2 linked regions of the Arabidopsis thaliana genome follow. The protein of the gene in region 2 binds, or shares a complex with, the protein of the main gene of each other region. Each region holds a gene or a part of one and is shown on either strand. Other genes may lie near its edges.

Region 1 (8,910 bases), on a different chromosome or scaffold from region 2:
AGGAAGGTCTTGCGACAGAGAAGGCACCAGCGGCAGAAGAAACAACATCTGTTAAGGAAGACAAGTGAAGACTCTGTTCTAGAGATGATGAAAAACCATATGGTATTATTAGCTTTTCAGGTTTATGAAACCCTCTGAATTACTTCCTCTTTTATATGAATGTTGTTGGTACTCTGTTTTCTTTCTATGGATTTGATCTTGGTTTAAGTTTCTTCTACCTTTTGTTTTGGGTTATATTGTTTCCAAATGTTCTTGGACTTGAAATTTTTGGCTTTGACGTAAGAGTTTATGCATTTGAATCGAAGTCTAATATGTTGTCAACATTGAAACAAAACAACCACAATATGTTGAGCCAATTTTCTTCAACCATTACTTAAACATTAACCAGAATTTGAAACACAATGACACTATTCCTACAAATACATCAAACAAGATTGAGACTTGAGACCGTGGAAGAAGAATGAAAGACCTGTCCTCTCTAGTGAGCTATCAAGTGTAGAGAGGTAAAGCAGTCCAAGCACCAGAGACATGACCATTCTCACAAACATAAGCTCTCACAACTGGTTCACCATCATCATGAAACCCAAACACTCTTCTCAAACAAAACGATGAATGCAAATCCCAAGTCTCATCGCACAAACAAAACGCGCATTTCAAACCCGAGGTCTTACTCCGATTACCGTCGTTTATCGTTCTCCAAACTCTAGACCTTTTGAAATCCTTGAAGACTCCTCTAAACAACATGTAATTTCGTTTCTCTTCTACGTGAATACACCCAGGCCAATTGCAAATGTAGAGACAATCACCTCGGAATCTACTCGCGAGAAGCTTGTTGCCTTGTTCACGGCTAAGGTTCCAGCCACCGGAAGCTAAATGAGATCCTAGAGATCGACAAATCTTCCTTCGTTTCCTTACCGGAAGATCTCGTCCAGGTCTGATCTCACTCGTTTCGATTTCTTCTTCTTGATCGTCGATTGAATCTTCGGGAGGAGGAGCGGGAATAGTATCTGTGTAGAGATCATCATATAGAGACCAAAACGAAGTCGTTTCTAAACCAGATCCAACTGGTTTCGAAACTTCTTCGTCGTTAAGAGCTAGATCCGTCGTAGTAGGTTTCGGATCGAGGTTTTGATCGGGACCTAGCTCACGTTCTAAACCGAAATCGGAGTTTTCGAGGAGAATTCCAGCGTGGAAGAGACCAGGACAACAAACAGCGAGTTTGTATAAAGAAGCCCAACCACCGGGAGGAGTAAGAGACGAATCCGCCGCGGTGGATGAAGAAGCGGATGCGGCGGCGGAGGGAGGAAGAGGGAGGAGATCGGAGATGACGGTGGGGATAGCGGAGTAGCACTGAGTTTTACAACAAACGTTTCGAACAATTGAGGAGAATTTGGTGCAGACGCAAGCGAGACGAGCCCAGTTTCTTGGATCATCTTGGAGCTTGAAGAAGATGTTGAAGACTACGTCTTCTGGTATACAAGAGAAGACAGATTCCGCCATGGATCGCCTTCTTCTCTCTAGGCGGCTCCTTTCTTATCCAAATTCACTTATACTGTTATGGGTCCGGTACGCGTAAACCGGGAATAGTCTTAACTGTTCTTAAGGTGGGTCACAGATTCACTAACACCCACACAAAGGCAAGTAAGTAATGCGCAACAGCTCTCGAAAATGACATCGTACGGACTGAACTAAAATGTAAAGGGTCCGGGTATCAAAATGAGTTCAATGCACATGTCTTTTTAGGTTCATTTATTGTGAACGTTTTCAAAATTTTAATATCGAATTGTGAGCTTTTGAATTAAGTTTGGTATTCGACAGTAATTTTTGATAGTTCGTTTTAAGCACTAACTATATTAGCAAGTCATATAAATCAGCTGAGCTTAGCTCATAAACTGATGATGACTGAGTATATATCATTCCCATGTGCAAACCCAAGCTAATAAGAATGAAATACACAACTAGTTTTTCAACTTCTCATACATAAGAGAGATCATCTTTATGAGAATCTTCCAACAGACCCAGCTTTTTACCTGATATGAGATGTTTCTTTACCTGTAAAACAGTTGGAAAGAGATTCAGAGAAAGAGTGAGAATGTTCCAAGCAAGTTAAAAAGAGTGTGCATTACCGAGATGGACTCCTGCTTCTGCTCTTGCTCCTACCACGGATAGGGCTCAGCTGCTTGCTAGGGCTCTTACTTGCTTCCTTCTGAACCTGCAACACACACAATTCAATCCAGATGATGAGAATGTAATTAGCTAGACATAGATCATGTCTTTTGGATAGTATGGATTGAAAACCGAAAATATTGTGCTGATAGTATAGCGGAGTAAAAAGTGTATTAGAGATAGATGACTTAGAGAGGGTAGAGGAGATCTTGACCTTGAACGAGATCTGCAAAAGTCCGAGAAACAAATCCAGTTTTAAAAATCCAATATTTCCGTGTTTAATAGCTGTTTCACCAAGACCCTTGATGCCTCATTCCATGTCAGACATCAAAACACAATCACAAGAAGCAAAAAAGAAAAAAACATATCTTCAGACTATTTCTAGCAGAAAATCAAACCAACACAAGCCTGCTTTTCGTTAAAACAGATGGTAGAGATGGAGAATATCAAAGCAAATCTAATTCTATCAAACCCTGTGTCCAGAACAGCATCGGTTCCATGAGAATCCAGATCGCTTGTCGATTAGCAGGTAATGAAAATATCTGTCCTAGCTCGATGGGTCCATTTTGATGACACTATATCAATGCGATCCAATGTCTCTCCACTGTTACCCATCTAGCAGCAATGGATATTATCAGAAAACGAACTTGCCCATCTAAGAAAGAGCATATACCTCTGAGACGAAACAGTTGTGTACAACCAACCAAGACATCCATGATCCAGATACTATTTCCCATATTTTAGTTGATTGTATGTATATCCATATCTAAGAAACAAAACCATTCTCAACACTATAATTATAAAAGACCAGACTTTCAAAGGAAATAAATCGTGTACCCTTAACTAGAAGCAATCATCATTCTCAATCAACAACTCGGAGTCATCCCAGTGACATCTTTTAATGTGATGTCACCAAACTTCAAGGGAAGAGCTAAATAGAGCCTATGTTATGTTTTATGTTGGATATTTTAGCATAAACATTATAGAAGAAATGAAGCATACCCTCGTGGAGACAGTGACCTCGACTTAGAGCGGGAGCGAGAGCGAGGAGATCTCGATGTAGATTTTGCAGGCGATCTACGCAAAGATTTAGCCTTTGGACTTCTGCTCTTGCTCCTGCTTCTGCTGCGGCTACGACTACGGCTGGGACTCCGTCCACGGCTGCGGCTCTTAGAATAGGATCTTCCACGGCTGGGGCTCCTCGAATCCCTCCTTGAATCATATTCTCTAACCTGTAATGACATAGGGAAATGTTAAGTGCAATAAAAACGAATGCAGCTCTCAGAATTCTTGTCTTTAACATACCCGAACATATTCATGAGAAAACGCATTCCGAAACTCTGTGTCATCGAGCTTTTTTTATCTGGACAAAATAAAGAATATAATCATGAGTAATCAAGGATGAACACATTCTCAGCCACAGTCCCACACAGAAAATCAAATAATATGAAGAGGAAGAAAAACATCTCACCGCATATTTCATGTCCTCGTAGCTGGTATAATCTACAATTCCAGTTGTACCTGTAAATAAATAGTCCACGATATAGATTTTTTAAAGCATGCACAGACTAGTTAAAACAGGATTTAAAGGCAGAAAACCCAAACAGCTTTAGACACATCTCTATTCTTGGGTAAGACATGAGGATTTACCTCTACCATCACGAAACACTTGAGAAAAACAAACTTCTCCTCCTTTACGCATGTGATCCTTCAAAACAAAGTGATATGTCAACATTCAGAAATCGTAGAAAATATAGGAACGACAATGAGGAATCTGTCCACAACTGTGTAATCACCTTGAGGTCTTGCCAGGACGCAGATGAAGGCAAACCTGACACTACAACTGTATAGTGGAAAATCTTAATTTAGTGATTTCTCCTAAAACTTATGAATACACTAAAGCTAAACATATCATATGTACCGCGGTACTCTGATCTCCTAGATGGTCCACGTTCACGACCACCACCGTCACCACCACCACGACCGCCACGACCACGACCACTATAACTACCGCGTGCATCATGTGATGAACGCCTCCCACCATGAGCTAGTTCCACCTGCAATGGCCAACACACATAAATTATGTTTGGCTACCAGTCAACAATACAAAGTTTGTGTAAAAATTCTGAAATTTGATGATTAACAAACCCGTAAATGATGCCCATCAAAGTCATAACCATCACGGCCATAAATTGCATCATCAGCATCACGAGCATCCTCAAACTAAATCACATATATCACAAAACATTAGTGGTAGTATCTCCCAACATTTGAAAACTCATGAACACTCAACAACAACGAAGAGCCTAACTGTAAAATCAACAACAAGCCTTTATAAAACATGTGGTTGCATAAAAAATCTGACCTCGACGAATGCATAGCCTGGAGGCCTCGGCGGAATCTTCAAATCGATTTGAACAACAGGTCCATACTTCAAAAAAAATAAGGAAGAACAATTCTTAAGGAAACTTCTTCCAAATAAAATCAGAATCCAACAATTCCGAAGATGCATTCAATTTCTTTCACATGCAAATCTTGTAAAGACATATTCATCACATAACACAAAATTCGATCCTGAGTTCTGAGTTCTTAAATTAGGAGAAACGAGTAATTTACCTTACTGAACAAGTCTTCAACTTCTCTTTCACGGATATCGCCGGGAAGGTTCCCGACGTAAATCGTTCTACTCGAACGGCTGCTCATTTATTTCTTTCCTATACCAAAATCAAAATTGAGATTCGAAACGTCAATAGATCGAAACAAAGAAGCGATCACACACAAAAAAAACTCATTGGATAACGATTAACCTAAGGAAAACTAAAGAGGTTTGATTGATCGTCTATATATGAACTAAAATTCCAGTAACGATTCCGATCACCTGAGAGAAAATTCCGATGGAAGAGAAGAAGAAAGGCGAAAATTGAAATCTGACTAGGGCTTTCGAATACCATAGAGATCATCACGTGAGTCACGTGACCGACCGGGTACGTATTAAAATACATTGTGTCTTGACCGTATAAAATACATTTGACCCGTTTTGCAACAAATCGTAATCTTCAATCAAAAGCTCTTAAACCCAAAAGAACAACTCCAAATCTTCACTACTCGATATTCTCAAAGAACTTGAAAACAACACAGATCCATTCCCAATTTCAGATTCACTCAAAAGGATTTTTCTTTTTTCATTTTCGCTTTTTGTGATCTGGAAAGTTGTTACCTTTAACAATGTCTCCGAAACATCTAGAGTCATCACGAAGCTCTATTGAATCATGCACTTCACAGCTTCTCTCATGGCGACCATTTCACCGCTCCAAAACCCTAGACTCATCTGACCAACCACCGCAGACCAATGGGTTTCACTCCTTTACTCCCAAACGCCCTTGCTTCTCCGATCGATCCACTTCTTTCACCATCGAAGCTATGAGCCGTCTCTCACTCGCCGACGACGACAATGGAGGGAAGACATTATCAGCTTCCAATTACAGCAATAGAGGAAGTTTCAGGTTAGTAGCGAGGAAGCGGCGGCGGCGTAATTCGAGATCGGTGTCTGGTCGGAGTAGTGATCGGAGTGGGACTCGGAGATGTTGCTCCATTGGTGCTCATGGGACTTGTTCGGATTTGCCTTTCGCTGTTGGTACAGATTCAAGTGGAGAGCTTTTTGGTGAAGCGAATTGGGCTTCTGATGTGAGTGAGGCGGCGAGGAATTCACGGAGAGAGCGGCGAGATTCTGGTGGAGAGAAGGAAGCTTCTGGTGGATTTGGATTTGCTAATGGAGTTGATCCAATGGGGAATGAATCTGGGTATGGGAGTGAGCCTGGTTACAGAGGTGATGCTGAGTTTGGCTATGGTGATGAATTTGATGATGAAGAAGAAGATGTCAAGCCATTGTTTTGGGGAGGTATTAAATTCAGAGACTTTTTATAGCAATTGTGTTCCATCTTGAGATTCGTGGTTTTTGCTATGAAGATTTGGAGATTGATCATCATTGATTAGATTAAAGATGACAACTTTAGTGTTATTTCTTCTGATGAAAATGAGTCTGATTTTGCTCTGCTTGTCTATTATGGCATTGCCTCATAGGAATTGTCAGAAAGTTGTCAAATTTGGGTTAGGGAATGAAATAATGATTGTACATTGTGGAATTGGGTTCTTATCATGTTAGGTCATTGTCTGAAATGGATATGTATGTACTTGGTATTTTGATATGTTTAGTGATTGGTGAGTGTTTTGGATTTGGAGCAGATACAGATTCAACAATGGGGATGTCTGGTGAGACGAAATTCTCAGATAGTAAACCTCAATTCAGGTGCCGGCGAAGAAGACAACATGACTACAAAACTGTTGACTCCATGAGATGAACATAACAAAGACATTACTATTCAGTTATTCAGTAATGTCTCCATGAGATGATGAACATAACAAAACTGTTGACTCCATGCTCATCCACCCTCATGATGATCCGCAGACATTCTTACCGAGTTGTTTACAGATACCAAGAGAAGAGGTCTTATTGGAGAAACGTTAATATGTATTTGTCCTAACACCTGAAACTGTAAAGAGCTTTGTCAAACATTTTTTTTATAGAAAAATCTGTGCCCTTTTTTTGGTGATATGGATGTCTCAAAGATTCGACGATCTGGAGAAAGATTTACGAAAACCACAATGCGTGTATAGCTGCACAAAAGACCATTCCGTTTACGGAAACCAAGTTGGTGACCTTCATTTGGGACTCTGTCGCGGAGAGTATATGTAGACAAATGTAACTAAAAAAGACAACTATGATTGTTACTCTTGCTCCTTTATTATATGAATCAGAATATGACACAATTATTTGCAATTGATGGAAGTTAAAAGAAAGACTTAGTCATGACTCTCTGTCCTTGTGCAAATAGAATGCCGTAGTCACGAGGGTGAACAATTATTATTTTTTCCGGATAGAGACTTGATAGTACAATTGTGGTCCGAATTAAAACCAAGATAATAGATGGAAGTTTGTCTACCACAAAATAGTTTTGACTAAAAACAAAAGAATGAAAGTTAGGTGCGGTACTAATACCACTATTGTGGTTCGGATCAAAACCAAAACGTGATTTGATACCAAATGATTAAATCCCAAACCTTAACACAATGGAAAACAGAGTAGTGACACATTGTTTTTGCAATTAGATTTAGTTATGGCTATCGTTTACTAACTCATCAGCTTCACTCAATAGTGACTTACACATAATGAGATGATACACGTTGTACATCTCTAATCAAAGCCTCTATTAATGTGAGACAAGATAAGTTACACCGGAGACAAACACACGTTGTACCACAACATTACAAATTGAAAACCTTTATGATCCGTCATTCATCTTCGTGAGTCTCTACCATGACCTCTAATATAGGTTAAGCCGAAACGACTTTTCCCTTGACCAATACAAAAAATGACTTTTCCACACTCTCCATAAATTTTCTTTACAAACTCAAATACCTAAACCAAAGCCAACAAAAATAAAATAAAACTCTTCACCATGTTCTTCATCAAGCTCTTCACCATCTTCTTCTTAAGCTTCTTTTGGCAATCCCTAAAGTCCTCTTCCCAAATTATCGACTTCACTTACAATGGCTTCCGTCCTCCACCGACAGACATATCCATCCTAGGAATTGCCACCATCACACCAAACGGTCTCTTAAAGCTAACCAACACAACCATGCAGAGCACCGGTCACGCCTTCTATACCAAACCAATCCGGTTCAAAGATTCTCCAAACGGTACCGTATCGTCTTTCTCCACTACCTTTGTCTTCGCTATTCACTCTCAGATACCCATTGCACACGGCATGGCCTTTGTCATCGCTCCTAACCCTCGCCTCCCATTCGGCAGCCCCTTACAATACCTCGGTCTCTTCAATGTAACAAACAACGGTAACGTTAGGAACCATGTATTCGCTGTCGAACTTGACACGATTATGAATATCGAGTTCAATGATACGAACAATAACCATGTTGGAATCGATATCAATAGCTTGAACTCGGTGAAAAGTTCTCCTGCTGGGTACTGGGACGAGAACGATCAGTTTCACAATCTGACTTTGATCAGTAGTAAACGGATGCAGGTTTGGGTCGATTTCGATGGTCCCACCCATCTAATCGATGTAACCATGGCTCCGTTTGGTGAGGTTAAACCTAGGAAACCGCTTGTTTCTATCGTCAGAGATCTGTCCTCTGTTCTTTTGCAAGATATGTTCGTAGGTTTCTCGTCTGCGACCGGTAATATTGTGTCCGAAATTTTTGTTCTTGGGTGGAGTTTTGGAGTGAATGGGGAAGCTCAGCCATTGGCCTTATCGAAACTTCCGAGATTGCCGGTGTGGGACTTAAAACCTACAAGAGTCTACAGATTCTACAAGAACTGGGTGCCGTTGATCTCCCTCTTGTTGATTCCCTTCTTGCTTATAATCTTCCTCGTGCGCTTCATCATGAAGAGGAGAAGAAAGTTCGCGGAGGAGGTGGAAGATTGGGAAACAGAGTTCGGGAAGAACCGACTAAGGTTCAAGGACTTGTACTATGCAACAAAAGGGTTCAAGGATAAGAACATTCTTGGATCAGGCGGGTTCGGGAGTGTTTACAAAGGTATCATGCCCAAGACGAAGAAGGAGATTGCCGTGAAAAGAGTCTCGAACGAATCTAGACAAGGTTTGAAAGAGTTCGTGGCTGAGATCGTGAGTATTGGACAGATGAGTCACCGGAACTTGGTTCCTC
Region 2 (8,094 bases):
CATGATCTTGATGTCGGAAATGACTAGCAAAATTGCCAACACGATATCTGAGTACTTAATTTACTAAATCTAAAACTGCAATGTCAGGTGTTGTTTCTCAGTGAGTGAATAAAATAGAAGGATTAAGGATCTAATTAGAAAAATTATCTTGATCTTCTTTGTTATGATGTTACATTTTTCGAACATGTAGAGAAACAAGTTTCAAAATGTCGTTGAAGCATAGCTATAGGCAGGAATCTTAGCAACCTTCTTCGTCTTCATCAACTTCCTAACTCTCTCAACATCTTTCCACATCCCTCTGAGTGCATACACATTAGCCAAGACAACATAAACACCATCGTTCCACGGCTCAAGCTCAACCATGTATGGAGCCACCCACTCAGCCATCTCAACATCCCCAAACTTCTCACACCCTCCCATCAAACAACCCCAAACCATCACGTTAGGCTTCATCGGCATCTCCTCAACAACTTTCTTTGCCTCCTTAAGCTGCCCGTCACGGCTCAATAGATCAACTATGCATCCGTAATGCGATAATCCCGGTTCTAGCTCGAACTCTGACTTCATCATCGCAAAATATGTTTTTCCTTCCTCCACAAGACCTCCATGGACGCAAGCACTGAGAACTCCAACGAACGTGATCTTGTTTGGTCTGACACCGAATTCTCTCATCTGACGAAAGCATTCTAAAGCCTCTAATGTATTCCCGTTAGCTGCGTAACCCACGATCATAGAACTCCAAGAGACAACGTTTCTCTGTCGCATTTCCTCGAATATGTGACTCGCTAAATCCATACGCCCACATTTTCCATACATATCAATGAGCGAATTCAGCATCATGATATCAGACTTCTCTTCGGTCTTAGCTTGTAGAACGCATTTATGCAACTGAAAAGCCAAGCTCAAGTCACCTAATCCTCCACAAGAAGCAGTCACACTAACCATAGTGAAATCATCAGGCTCAAGTCCACTCCTTTTCATATCCACAAACATTTCCACCGCCTCGTTAGCTCGACCAGCGTGATTCAACCCTCCGATAATGGCGTTCCAAGACCCCAGCTTTCTCTCAGGATTTTCATCGAACACCTTACGTGCGTTCTCAAATTCCCCTGCTTTACAATACAATGTAATGAACCCACTCTCGCAGAACTCATCTCCGACGAACCCTAACCTAACGGCGACGGAATGAAGCTCCTTTCCCAACGTAAAATCATGAATTTGAACGGCTGCTTTGATTACAATCGGAAGAGAATATCGATCGGGTAAAACAGTCGATCTCACCATACCGAGATATACTTGAATTGCATCGAGAGGAGACTCATGGCGAATGTAAGATCGCATGATGTTGTTCCATAAGAAAGCGATCGGATATTGATCGAGGATTCGTGAACGGAAGATGTCACCATGGATCCGACGAACACGAGCTAGGCTAGTGCAGTTTGATAACAGAGTAGCTAAGAGTTTGTTTCGATCTTGAGGCGAAAGAGGCGTAACCGAGGAAGATGATGTAGTGACGAAATGATTCAAACGGTGAAAGATCGTGAAGTGATTTGTTCTCTTAGTACCATGAACATGAAGCTTGGAGATAAGACCAGAGAAGAACATGTGTCTTTTTTGTTGTTGTCCTGATTCAAAACTAAGATTCTTAAGTACACAAAGTTGTAACAGTGAAAAAGAAACTAAAATAAGCTCAAAAGATCTGATATTATGAAGCTGAAAGATTGTATTCGAGTAGTTTAAGAGACTCACAACAACATAAATACTGATAATCCAAAGCAAACTGTTTTAACAGATCCAAAATAACAAGTTATATATTGAAATCAAAGATCAGTTACTGAGCTTTTTCTTTGTCTTGACTTTTAACGCCGGTCACTGCGTTCGAAATTGATCTTGGTTCGACCAGAACCGCCGTGGTCATCGTCCCTTGAAGAGCTACCACCACCGCCACTTGCTCTCATAGTTCCACCAGACCCGATCTTGTCCAAAGGTTTCTTACCCTTCTTTAAATCAGAAACCCACTTCTCAAGACCGAAAGGATCTTGTTCCTCTTCCTTCTCAAACTCAACAGGTCGGTCTCTCTTACTACCCACCCTCTCTGAAGCCCCTGTGAAAGCTTTGTCAGGCTTAAACCTCTCAGTATTCTTGATCTTATCGAGCTGCTCATCAGCGTTTCCATACATTTCTTCATCGTTATCCTTCTTTGGCTTGTACAAAGTCGAAAGAGTTGGTTGTGCAGTGAACAAGCCTTTGTCGTATAAGTTGTATTGGTCATCAGCAGCGAAACCAGAGTCCATTCCTTTGTCTTGGTTAAACAGACGTTGATCATACATAACTTCACCACCACCTTTTCCTCCAGTAGATGCCATTCCAAGAGCAACTTTCTCACTGATGTCACGGTCTCTGTCTCTGGTGATCTTGCTCTTCTTCCCCATGGCAGCATCTTTGGCATCCAACCTTCTCTCCCTCTCTCTTTCCCTGCGACGCTCTTCTCGTATCTTTTCTCTCTGAATCCTTTTTTCCCTCTCCTCCCTCGTCTCTTGAGGCTCTTCCCTTTCTCTTTCCCTTCCTCTATCCTGGTCATAGTTGTCATAATCACCTCTTGGGTCAACACTTTCACTCCTACCCCTGTCAGATGAGACAGGCATACTCATAGCAGCACCGGTTCTTTCGGAGCGAGCTTTTTGGGCAAGAGCCCTCAATTCCTGCTCTTTCCTTTCCTTGTCCTTCATCACCATCTCTTTTTGCACCTTGGAACGCATTGAAACAGCCTCTCTAGCTTTCTGCTCAGCTACATAGAGGGCCTCTGATAACTTGGCAAAGTTATCATTGATCTGAACGTCTTGTAGGCCCCTTCCATCAGCAGCTAGACGTTTGTCAAGAGGGATTGTGTAACCTTTCGGATTCTTCCAATTGGAGATACAAGGAGGGATTTTCCAGTCTTGCTGGTCCTTGACGGTAACAGGCCTGGGCGGTGAATGCATGACCGGAACAGGCGGAGAACCAGAAGCCCTTGGGACTCTCTTGTGCTTGAACTTTGGTGGATCAAGTGGATCTACAGGCATCTCCACCATCCTAATGATCCTCTCTTTAGCACCAGAATTGAAGGCAGAAGATTGCTGGGATGGCTTATATTTAATGTACTGTGAATCTCCCGATTGCCTTGCTATATTACTAGGCTGCGCTGCACTCAGTCTCACATTCACAATCTTCTCAATGGCAGCTTTCGTTTCTTCAGCAGTCTCCTGAATCTCCTTCTGCAATTCCTCCTCTTCATCAACAACAGTACCCAAGTCTCCCTCGTTTTTCAGAAACTTTGGAATAATATCCTTATGCTGAGAATAAACAATCTTCCTCGAGTTCTCATTCTGCCTCACTATAGCGTCAAAGACCACGTTTCCCTGAGCATCGACAGTAACAGGGAGAGTCTTAGCTCCAGGCTTATTGGATTTATTCTTACCCATAAGAAGAGGATACTGAGGAAGATGAATCTCCGGGAAAGCACCACCATCGCCAAAATCCTCTGGATTCTTCGGACGTAAACCTTGACGATTCAGGTAAGCAGGCACCACTTTAAATTTGATACTGGAGGATTTCACCGTCTCGGATTCAGTGACTCGGTTTTTGAACCAAGCATCATTAGAATGATCATAATACGTGGTAGTGGTTGATTTGGGCGCAGGAAGATCATTAAGAGACTTCATAGTCTAAATCAAGGTTTTCAACAAATCGCAACCTGCAAACAAAGAACAATAACGATCAGGACATACCTAATCCGTAATTACAACAACAAGCTTCTGATAATAAAAGTGACAGATCCTCCGAAATTAGGGTTTTCTAGCGATAAACTCGACGCGAGCATTAGATCCCGAATAATTCCGATTAAAATCTGAAAAATCTGGGTTGGATTCACTACAATAGAGCGGAAAACAAGTAGGGTTTAGGAATCGCTGAACATAGAGATCGACAAAAACCTAAAAACAACAGGAGGAAAGCAAAAAGCAGAATTGAATCTGAGAAATCGAAGAAGCTAACCTCTGAGGAAACTAATCGACGGGAAGAGAGATTCTGAGAAAGGTGAAACGATGTGCGAGGCGGCGCAGACCGATGAAGAACAACGAACGGAAGTGAAGCCTTTTTCTGGGGAAAAAAGAAATCGGGCGTGAAGCCTTTTCTAGGGTTGATAGGATTAACAACAAAAAAAAGGAATCAATTGTCTTATACGCAGTGTCTATGTAAGTCGGTTTAAAAATAGACGAAAAAACGAAAAGGATAACGTCGCCTGAGAGATTCGAACTCTCGCGGGCAGAGCCCATGTACTTAGCAGGCACACGCCTTAACCACTCGGCCAAAGCGACTTATTGTTTTTAAATCGAAGAAAGTTATATATATAACTATAGGTGTTGGCTTTTTGATATATACAACAATTCTGAGCATCTCATAATTATTTGCATTGTCCTTAATGAAAATCCGTCTCAAACACATTCCCATAGTTTCGTTTAAAATACTGAATTCAAGGTTAAAAGAAAAAAAAGTATAAGAATTTGGTGTTGGTACATCTCAACTGGTATACTGTTAAACCACCTCGAAAGGGAAGGTGAAAAAGTTCAGAATTCAAGTACCAATAGAGGAAATACTAGTTAGGCTTTGGTTTGTCTATCAAAACTCAAAGCAAGTGTAAGTTTCATATCAACAAACTTTCTTCTCTTTCATTTTTTTATAAAAAAACAATAGATTGATGGCGTTAGTTTGATATTTAATGAACCAATTTATGTTTTTCTAATCAACAACCAATTTGTTTGATATAAGGTAAAGAAACAAAAATGATATGAATGAACTACGTAGGCTATGTAAATAACGACTACGAGAGAGACTTAAATGTATGGTGAGAAATATTATTAAACATATATGTGGCCATGCGGGATAATGGGAAGGTTAATGGTTTTGCTTCTATGGAAACAACGGCATGGTAGTTAGTTTCCAGTTTTGGTGGACAACTTGGCGTGGTTGTGTTCAACGACAAACTATGGTCCTTGACTCCTTGCATTACACAACTCAAAACTCGGAATATACTTGAGTATATCATATGCATACAATTTTCAACTTTTTCTGTTAAATCGATTCATGGATTAGATGAACTATTTTGAGGGCTTTTCAGCATTCGATTAGGTTAAACGGCTGTTGCGATTATTATTTGTTTTCATAGGAGCTTATGCTATGAACAGTAATCATATAATCATTTGTATAAAAGTGTCTATTTCTGATCTAAGCACAGTAATTCATATTTGTTTAACCCCAAAAGCAAAAAATCATACATCCGTATATATATTTGAGAAAGGAAAAAACAAATAAAGACCGTGCTCGTGGGTGGAACCTCCGTTGACCGCGGATCCCAATATAATGGCCTTTTCCTACGGGATAGTTAGATGCATTACTAATTAACGTAACAATTAATTTTGATTCAAATCAATGTACGATGATTATAATAAATGTGTTAATTTAATCAACTTATGAGGCCGGTGTTGATTGATGTTTTCGTTGAGAAGACTCACCCAATACTTAGTTGATTTAACATTTTTTTTTTTTTTTTGTTACAAAGGTATTAATTTCCCCATCTAAGGATTGCGTATGAAAAAATATTTGTTCAAACATAATATAAGTTCGTTTTACAAAGATTAAAAATGAATAAAAAAAAGGTTTTAAATTTCACATCGTTGGATTTGCATATGAGTTAGTGCATGGACATGTTAAATTAAGGGTCAAGCCATTAATTATGTCTGACTAATGCAAACAAAGTCAAACAAGAGGAAATGATAAATAATCCTTAACCTGCAAATTCGTTTTGGTAGAACGATAATCTTTTACTTCTCTGGTACAAATTGTTTTTAATTAGGGAAAGAAAATGAGTTTCTATTTTTCTTCTCAAAAGTGTATTTCCTAAATATTGCATTGTACTTGTATTTCTCATTCACTGTAAACAATAATTTAAATTGAAAAAGTTGGTTATATGAAGCTAACAGTAGAAATTTTGTGAATTAAATACAGAGGGTGATAATAAATACCAAGTTGAAAAGATTCAATATATGTCAACTAACAAACCATCTCAGATAATACTTTTATCTACCGCTACTTTGATATAAATAGTTTAATTCTCAAATGTTCACCTAAAGTATAAAAAATGGTCACCTAAACTATATAAGTTAATTAGCAAAATATAAACAAAAAACCATTTATCGTCCAATCACAATTGGCGTGTTCGTACAAAATATCTAGAAGATCCGATCAAAAAAAAGAGAGCAATAAACATTATATGGTACTATCAGGTTTAATCAAGTATATTAAACTCTGGTCTGAATCCAATAATTAAATAAACTTCAGAGGTTTGGAGGCTAAATGTTTTTAAAAGAAGAGATTATTTAAAAATAAAACTAAGGAAAAAGGGGGCCAAAATTGGAAGAGTCGAAAGGTTCAGCCATCGAAATGCCATTTTCGTCGCTGTGGTAATAAAAGCTATAACAATTATTAATATACCAAGGCGAACTAGGTGGATACGCCGAGTCAACGTACACAAACTCGCTCAATGACTCATCGTAACTCGTCTCTAGACTCGGTAACTCCACTATCTCGCTTAGTTCTTCCGCCGTCGACGCAGCTTCTTCGCTTGACGGTGACAACGACGATGACGTACACGTTGAATAGCTCGAGGAAGACAACTGCGTCTCAGCTGGGGCGATGACGGTGGTTGGATCGGAGACTACGAGAGAGGAGGAGGAGGGGGAGAAGTCCATGGCGGCCGCTACGGCGGCTGCGGCTTGAACGTCGCGTGGAGAGGAGGAAGCTGGACGGGGAAGGTAAGTGGCGAGCTCCGGGAAGTTGAGGACGGCGGAAGTTCCTTTAATGGTGAGAGCAGCTGCGTCATGTGCACGCGCCGCCATTTCCGGTGTGGAGAAAGTGCCTAGCCAGATTCGGCTCTTCTTGCGAGGCTCTCGGATCTCGGAGACCCATTTGCCCCACGTTCGCATCCGGACGCCTCGGTAACCCGGGTCGGATCTTACACGTTTCTTGGTGTTGGTTCGGTGGGAGTCTTGTTGGTGATGATGATGATCCTCCTCCTCCGGCACCGGAGACGATTGTTTGACGGAGATAATGGATGACTCGGTCATTGACACGTGAGTTTGACTCAGTGAGTGTGAAGAGAGTACGTACGTAGGGTTTATATAAAGACTAGAGAGAGAGAGAAAGAGAGTTGAAGTATTGAAGTGAAATGTTGAAGTTAGTTAGAAAAGGACAGTCGATCGCTTACTTATGATGACAGGTGTGTACACATTATAAATTCACACATCAATATTATTTGAGAATGACCCATTTTTTGTTTTCGTTTATTTAATGTTGATATTTTGCATTCGGCAAGTAAATGTTTATTTATCTCTTCGTGATAACCTATGCATGGTCCATGTATGAACTTGATCAATTCAATGGGGTAATAACATTCCCATTCGGAATTGACTAGGAACTTATATTTTTGTTTTGTTAAAATTGACTAAGAACTTATGCAATAGTAAAGGGAGAATGGGCAGAAAAAAATCAAAAATATGTTTAACCTATTATAATGTGTCCATGAGCTTATTTCAACTTTAATTTTAATGGGATAGTAATATTTCATTAGGAATTATTTCCAAATATGCTACTATGAGTTCAACAATATAGCGATTGATACAATATGACGATTAATCAGAATGCTAACACGACCATACAACTAGACTATGATTTTTTGTAGCGATGTTTTCTTAGGTCTCGTTGGTAACTTGGTCTATTCACTAATAGAATATCATTTTACGATCAATATAAATTGTCTATAATTCGAGATTGTGTGTTTTTTTTTGTCGACTAGTGTTTACTTATACAATATATAGCTAAAATGGAGAAATACAATCATATATATATATATATATGTGTGTGTTTGTTTGTCGTCTTGTATCTTTCGAAAAATAAAAAATTATACAATTTAGTAGGAAGTGAATGTCTTTCGATGGAAGCCGAGTTCCCCAACTAGATCAAAGTTCGAATCAAGAAATTATGAAATACTACACATAATAT

The links.
Region 1: SKIP (region 2) and SR34b share a complex: the UniProt entries of both Arabidopsis thaliana proteins name them as parts of the spliceosome.

The regions. Positions count from the first base shown.
Region 1 is NC_003075.7:1,065,145-1,074,054, reverse strand, and holds SR34b (RNA-binding (RRM/RBD/RNP motifs) family protein), read right to left. Parts: upstream 5,082-8,910; 5' UTR 5,045-5,081; exon of another isoform or gene 4,974-5,044; intron 4,881-4,973; 5' UTR 4,870-4,880; coding exon 4,783-4,869; exon of another isoform or gene 4,679-4,782; coding exon of another isoform or gene 4,598-4,678; coding exon 4,532-4,597; intron 4,390-4,531; coding exon 4,315-4,389; intron 4,224-4,314; coding exon 4,088-4,223; intron 4,010-4,087; coding exon 3,963-4,009; intron 3,875-3,962; coding exon 3,817-3,874; intron 3,688-3,816; coding exon 3,638-3,687; intron 3,530-3,637; coding exon of another isoform or gene 3,520-3,529; coding exon 3,472-3,519; intron 3,399-3,471; coding exon 3,169-3,398; coding exon of another isoform or gene 3,147-3,168; exon of another isoform or gene 2,782-3,146; coding exon of another isoform or gene 2,771-2,781; coding exon 2,689-2,770; 3' UTR 2,381-2,688; intron 2,213-2,380; 3' UTR 2,127-2,212; intron 2,053-2,126; 3' UTR 1,832-2,052; downstream 1-1,831. Other genes in the region: AT4G02450 (HSP20-like chaperones superfamily protein), read left to right, coding at 1-68; EID1 (F-box family protein), read right to left, coding at 490-1,500; AT4G02425 (LYR motif protein), read left to right, coding at 5,392-6,064, 6,409-6,524; AT4G02420 (Concanavalin A-like lectin protein kinase family protein), read left to right, coding at 7,683-8,910. UniProt on the Arabidopsis thaliana protein: Probably involved in intron recognition and spliceosome assembly.
Region 2 is NC_003070.9:28,997,932-29,006,025, forward strand, and holds SKIP (chromatin protein family), read right to left. Parts: upstream 4,205-8,094; 5' UTR 4,033-4,204; intron 3,910-4,032; exon of another isoform or gene 3,734-3,909; 5' UTR 3,702-3,733; coding exon 1,860-3,701; 3' UTR 1,646-1,859; downstream 1-1,645. Other genes in the region: AT1G77170 (Tetratricopeptide repeat (TPR)-like superfamily protein), read right to left, coding at 202-1,605; AT1G77200 (Integrase-type DNA-binding superfamily protein), read right to left, coding at 6,426-7,160. UniProt on the Arabidopsis thaliana protein: Splicing factor involved in post-transcriptional regulation of circadian clock and flowering time genes. Associates with the pre-mRNA of PRR7, PRR9, ELF3 and GI, and is necessary for the regulation of their alternative splicing and mRNA maturation.